2 linked regions of the Ovis aries genome follow. The protein of the gene in region 2 purifies or fractionates together with the protein of the main gene of each other region. This does not show direct contact. Links are inferred from orthologs where the notes say so. Each region holds a gene or a part of one and is shown on either strand. Other genes may lie near its edges.

Region 1 (3,519 bases), on a different chromosome or scaffold from region 2:
TGTGTGCCTGATAGCTTTAATAGAATCACAGGCTAGTACATTGGGGCCATTTACATTGATGTGATGAGAGAATTTCATGGGCCACAGAGCATGCCTGGCTTGCTGCCTCACACACGTGTGAAATATTGGTTAAACTAACAGTTTTCAGCTTTGGGTTAGTTTCTGTGTGAAGCCTGTTTTTACTCAGATCTAGCATACACCAGTCGTTCTCCCAGTGTTTGGATAGGCGTGATTCCCTTGGTCAATGGGCGCTGTTTTTAGACACTAACTGAGGTCTCCTGCGGAAAATCAGCTCTAGTTGCGCTGCTTTTAGTTCCTGGTGTTTATTTGGTCCCATAAACCACTGGTTGGTCACACCTTACCTCCCAGACAAGTTAGTCTTTTCTTGATGGTTCCTAGTGATTTCACTTTTGTTTTATTTAAAATTTTCTCATCATTATATAGATTTCCTATGGGCTATCATCTCCAATTCTTCAGGAATGAGGGAGAGCAAAAATGAACAAAGAGAAGGGAGTGAACAGAAGGAAGCAGCAGAAAAAAGGAAGAGAGGAAAGTTCACTTTTTTCCCAAGCTAGTTTTCATATATACATTACTTTGTTGAGATATTCCACTTAATTGTAGCTGAAACGAGGTCCACCAGTTACTGAAATTCAGTGCTTTTAAATCTGTAGTGGGCATTAAATTCCTTCCTCCCCTGGAATAACCATCATTCTCTTGAATAAACACTGTTAAGATTTGACATGTATAAAATCATGGTTTTATACATGTATAAAATGGTTTATACTTTTATAAAGTATACATGTATAAAATCATGGTTTTATACATGTATAAAATGGTTTATACTTTTACTAAGGTATATTGTTTCATATATACATGTATTTGTATTTGATTAGAATCCATGGCATCACAAATCTGCCGTTTGGTTTTATCCCTCTGAATTAAATGCATGAGAACTTCTTACTGCTGAAAGATGTATAGTTAACCCTTGAACAATGCTGGGGTTAGGAGTATCAACTCTGTGCAGTCAGAAATCTGAGTATAACTTATAGATGGCCATCTGTATACAGTTTTTGTGTCTATGGTTCTTTGTCCATGGACTTGACCCACCTCAGATTGTGTAGTGCTGTAGTACCTATGGCTGAGAAAACACCACTTGTAAATATGTATGTGCATGCTCAGCTGCTCAGTCGTGTGTGATTTTTGGTGACTCCATGGACTGTAGCCCACCAGGCTGCTTTGTCCTCGGGAATATCCCAGCAGAAATACTTGCTGACCCAAGGATAGAACCCGAGTCTTCTTTGACTCTGGCATTGGTAGGTGGATTCTCAGACACTAAGCCACCTGGGAAGGCCCCATATATAAGTGGACCTGTACAACTCAAACCAGTGTTATTCAAGAGTTAGCTGTAGTTCTGGTTTATGCATGCAGCATGCCAGAGTGCTGTTTGCTTCACACCGTTGCCATTGTCTGTACTGGCTTGATCACTGCTGGAATTGACTATCTTGTATCATGTTCATCGGCCCTTAGTATTTTTCTTATTCCGGATTTTTTTGTTTGTTTTCTGAGATGCTGATAAGCGTTAAAATCGAGTTTAGAATGCAGTGCAGAATTTGGGGCTAGAATTATATTCTGTGTCTTTCTGGCTTGTATGAGGAGTTTACAATTCTGCAGAAACCAAATGCTAAATTTTGGCTTGTGAGTTTGTATCTTATTTCATATTGTCCTCCTTTCTCTTGGTTTCTAAAAGAAAACAGAGGATACTGACAGATTCTTACAATCTTTTATGTAGAGAAAAGAGCAGAGATCGTGAAAGGGAACGGGAGAGGGAAAGAGAAAGAGAGAGAGAACGGGAACGAGAACGGGAACGTGAACGAGAGAGAGAGCGAGAAAGGGAACGGGAGCGTGAGCGAGAGAAGGACAAAAAGCGAGATCGAGAAGAAGATGAAGAAGATGCATATGAACGAAGAAAACTTGAAAGAAAGCTCCGCGAGAAAGAGGCTGCCTATCAAGAGGTAAATTGAGGGAATGCTTTTATTGATAAAAGTTGGTACTTAGTAGGTTAGTCAAAAATTTCAGAACCTTTTGTATACATTTTAAAAACTTTTGACAATTTGTCTTGTTAGCGCCTTAAGAATTGGGAAATCAGAGAACGAAAGAAAACCCGAGAATATGAAAAAGAGGCTGAAAGAGAAGAAGAAAGAAGAAGAGAAATGGTAATTTTCTTGTTTAAAAATAAGTGGTTTTTCAGATAAAAATCAGATCAAATCATTTAAGTAGAAGTGACTTTATAATTAAAAAGTATCATCTCTCATCAAAAAACCTGAGCTCCAATATAAATAATATTTCAAGTGAAGTTGAGACAGTTTCAGTACAGCAAGATGTTTCTTCCTCCTATTCTTTTTTAAAATATTTATTTTTAATTGATTGATTGCTTTACAATATTGGTTTGACTTCTGTCATACATCAACATGAATTAACCATTGGTGTACATATTTCCCCTTCCTCTTGAGTCTCCCTCTCGCCTCCTTTTCTTCCTGTTTTTCACATTTTGGCCTCCTATAAACTAAATTATCATTTGGCATATTGTCAAAGTAAACCTGTATATAATAATGTATAAAATGAGGATTTATAGAACTTTCTTTGATTAAACATCTGCAGCATTTTTTAATTTGAAGAGGGTTTTAGAGGCTTTGATACTCTATCGGTGTAGTATATTTGGGTGAAGGAAACAGTCTTACGAGAAGATCTGTTTTTAGAAATCAAAATTACTGACTTCAGTATATAGCACTTATGAGTTACTGTTTTTCCTTATGTTACTATAATATCCTTCCTTTTAACTACACTATAATAATGAATTATAATAATAATGAATAATGCAATTATTTTTTGCATTTACACTTTGATAAGCTAATAGTGAAGCAATTGGCATAGGTTAATGAAGTAAAATGATGAAAAGATAATATATTTTATCATAGTATTTGCTTCTATAGTATGTTCCATATGTTCTGTCTTTGCCAGAGATTCATGAAAGTTTCTTTATCTCCAGTTTGGAGTCTATTCTCCCAAAAACATCATTAAAGTTAGGAACCTTCTTCAAATAGCTTTTGAACATGAGACATAGATGGAATTTTTGTAAGTAACCAAAGGGGTGCATACAGCAATTAGATAGTATGGGTTTTCTGGATGGCAGATCTTTTAAAGTCCTAGAATTATTTAAAGTGATTTTGATTTCCCTGGATTGTAGCTCCCATTCTATAATTTGTTCTTAACCCTTAGGTTAGAAATAGAGAATAATATAGTAAAAGACAAAATACTTTTAACAAGTGATTCCATTTCCTATAAGCAAATCTGAAACCTGTCTTTCTAGAGAAAGGTTTCCTATTAGTAATTTTTTGGGGGGAAGCTTAAAAAACCTCCAGTTAGAAAATAGTTACTTGTCAGTTGAAAAATGTTCAAGGAATTTGAAAAACGTTCAAGGAACAGAAGTATGTAGTATAAAAAGTGAAAGTTTGTATTCCT
Region 2 (3,519 bases):
ACATTTGGCTAAAGATACTTAAGTTGTATGTAAACTCCTGAAATAAGGGAATAGGAATAGTATTTTACAGAGTAGTGGACACGGTTTCAAATAAGGTAACAGATAATATACTTAGATAATGAGTGATAGTAAATTCCTTTGCTAAAATTAATTGACCCTTACCTTATAGATGATGGGAGAATAATGAATTTAACACAAGTTAAATTGTACTACATATATATAAATATGTTTTCTAAAAGTTACTAGAAAAGGCAGAAGCCCGTGAACGTGAAAGAGAAAAAGAGGAGGCTCGGAAGATGAAACGAAAAGAATCTGCATTTAAGAGTATGTTGAAACAAGCTACTCCTCCAATAGAATTGGATGCTGTCTGGGAAGATGTATGTATACTTAAAAATTTTTTCCTTTTACAGTTGAAAATAAAAATCTTTTTCTTTCTCATAGCTACAGAGATAAACTGAAGTTATTTGAAGATTGTGAACTCAGCTGTGATGGCATTTAGGAATACTGGAGAAACGGAAATAAAGACAAGGGGGCTGGGCTGTCAATTTTCACTTGCTGTTTTTTTAGTCATATTGGTATATTTTTCTCAGTTTTCATATTTTTATTGCATATCTGAATTTTTCAGATCCGGGAGAGATTTGTAAAAGAGCCAGCATTTGAGGATATAACTCTAGAATCTGAAAGAAAACGAATATTTAAAGATTTTATGCATGTGCTTGAGGTAATTTTAGTTTTATTGTAATTGGCTGATACATTAAAAAATATGTAAAACATTTTTTTAAATCAAATTTAGAATGATCAAAGTGTTTTTCCTAAATTACACTACTTTTATATACATGTACTTAACTATCTGGGATGATTAGGGAATGGTTTATTCTATAGAAATTGCTTTTAAGTGAAACACACTAGGCTTGCATGAGAAGGTAAAGATCTGTTCTGTGAAGATAGTTCATATATGTTTCATATTTATACAGTGTTACAGAAGTTCATCAATTTAGGAGTCACATGGAATGATTAATAAACCTGTAAAGAACTTAGAATCTGTAAAGCAGATAGGAAACGGTTTTAAGCATATTTCAAATAGAGGTGTTGGAAGCACAGGGATGTTCTGAAAAACAGTAAGTTTTTGCTAAAACAAGTAATGATAAAATTGCAAATTATTCCACTAGCTGAATTAAGGGTATTTTGATGAAGATTTCAGATAGTCACTTATAGATAGTAAACATGCTAAATTGACCAATAATAATTATTATTTGGTGCCCATGTTATGTTTTATAAATATTACATATACGAATGTAATCCTCACAGAAACCCTGTGAAGTTACAGATGAGCAAACTGAGCCCAAGAGGAAAAGTAATTTGCTGTGAAGGGATTCCAATGTAGGCTTTGACTCTAGGGCCAGTGCTTTTACCAAGTATGCTTTGCCATCAGTTATGGATAAACTTATACTTCACAGCAGAGTGAAGTTAGCATATACTTAAATTTGTAATGTTCATGGTCTTTGGGAATAGTAGGTAACTTAATTGTTGATGATTCTTTGGATTTATTGTCCTTGATAAGTATCAGTGTTGACAACAATTTGCTCTGTTAACATGCCCCACATGTACCATATGTTGTCTCTCAGCTGCCTTTAGATCTAGTGCTATTGGCCTGTAGATCTTTTCTACTCAGATCAGCAGCATTTGCGTTGTCTGTAAACTTGTTAAAAATACAGAACGTCAGGCCCCATTGGCAGAAATGTATCAGAATTATTATTGTTGCAAGATTCTTAAGCACAGGAATGTACATTTAATTTTGAGAACCTTTGCTGTAGTGTAGTGTGTTAATATTTTCCCCTAATTCAGGAATGTCCACAACAAGATTCTTTCATGATCTATGCTGGTAAAGTGATGAGGTCATAAATGGAGCTGATGACCACATAGGGAAGAGCTGAACATACCAGAAAAGGATTTGGACCTCAAAAACGGGCGTTGAGGTAGAAAAGGAAGAAGAGTTAACAGTTAGTGACATAAAAAGTGAGAGTCCCTGGTTTGGGAGTAGGGGACTTCTACTGCAGCATTTCCTCTCTCCTTCTAGCCTGATCATTGTTCTAGTAAAATAGTTAAAATCCATAGAACATTTCCTCTTTTGATTTCATGTGTAGTTAGATTGCCTTTGGATATCTTAAGTTTGACTAGGAAGGGAATGCTCCTTGAAAAGAAAGTAGATTTTGTATTCAATTTCTGAGACTAACCTCCTTGACAGATGGCTCTGGGATAATCCTTTATTTCAGTGGTGAACTTAGCTCACTGACAAAAGGCACGTTCATCAAATAAATACTATATAATTATATTTCATTGTTTTTGAAAGTAGTATGACTGTTCTGAAGACATATACCTTTATAGAGGGTATCGGTTGTCCCCACTGTACCCAAACCATTCTCATTGCTGTAAAATGTATTTTATTAATACTTTTAAACCTGTGTTTAGATGTGAAATGAGTACGTATAGGATAGTTAAAATGTTCTCTTCGCTTTTAAGTGATAGTAACTCTTTGCACAGTTTCAAGTTGGGGAGTACATCCTAAAAAGGCAAAATGAATGTCGTTTTTACTCTAAAAAGAACTTACTTGCAAAACTATTAAAAATTCTCTGTGATCTGTTATCTAAAGTGTGAGCTTTTGTAATTTTTTTCTTTTGCCCCTGTAGCATGAATGTCAACATCATCATTCAAAAAACAAGAAGCATTCTAAGAAATCTAAAAAACATCACAGAAAGCGCTCCCGCTCTCGATCAGTAAGGAAGTTTATTTCAAATGGTACCATAAGTATATTGAAGTATTTATTACCATCATTATGAATAAAATTATTTATGTTGTGTAGGGGTCAGATTCAGATGATGATGACAGCCATTCAAAGAAAAAAAGACAGCGATCAGAGTCTCGTTCTGCTTCAGAACATTCTTCTAGTGCTGAATCTGGTAAACATATCTTTTAACTTGATTAAAGTCATTGGCATTTGGATGTCCTCAAATTCTGACACTTTTCTTTTCATGCTGCTTAGAGAGAAGTTATAAGAAGTCAAAAAAACATAAGAAGAAAAGCAAGAAGAGAAGACATAAATCAGTAAGCAGACTCTTGATTTTTATACTGCACCTAAGCTTTTGCCCTTAGCTTTCTCAGTGGCAGTAGACATTTCTGCTTGGTCCTATACAGAGTTTAGGTGAGCACCTGAGCTCAAGAGTTTCATAGTTGTGGTTCACCTTAATCTTGCAATAAAATCCTTTGGTGAACTTGAAACAAATAGTAATCTTAGAGAAAGACCCGTGTGTGTGTGTGTGTGTGTGTGTGTGTGTGTGTGTGTGTGTTATAGCTATTGTTGAGAACCACAAGTTTAAGCAACTTTCTCTTCTATGCTCGGTTCTTGGTCTTAGGTACACATCAAGATACACCTAATCTTAGGGATGAAGGTACACCTAATTTAGTGACCCATTTTTAGTGATAATTTACCCTATCAGACTGTCATGTTTCCCATAGGAAAGA

What was found. Proteins that work in one complex are often made in the same cells at the same time.
Region 1: the proteins of PRPF40A (region 2) and RBM25 purify together in Homo sapiens (affinity purification with mass spectrometry; 5 studies listed by BioGRID and IntAct, with this or other methods). This does not show direct contact. The link is inferred for Ovis aries from reciprocal best matches to the Homo sapiens genes PRPF40A and RBM25.

The regions. Positions count from the first base shown.
Region 1 is NC_056060.1:82,674,256-82,677,774, forward strand, and holds part of RBM25 (RNA-binding protein 25), read left to right. Parts: intron 1-1,789; coding exon 1,790-2,012; intron 2,013-2,123; coding exon 2,124-2,213; intron 2,214-3,519. UniProt on the Homo sapiens protein: RNA-binding protein that acts as a regulator of alternative pre-mRNA splicing. Involved in apoptotic cell death through the regulation of the apoptotic factor BCL2L1 isoform expression.
Region 2 is NC_056055.1:156,955,822-156,959,340, forward strand, and holds part of PRPF40A (pre-mRNA-processing factor 40 homolog A), read left to right. Parts: intron 1-239; coding exon 240-377; intron 378-625; coding exon 626-721; intron 722-2,687; coding exon 2,688-2,774; intron 2,775-2,860; coding exon 2,861-2,957; intron 2,958-3,040; coding exon 3,041-3,102; intron 3,103-3,519.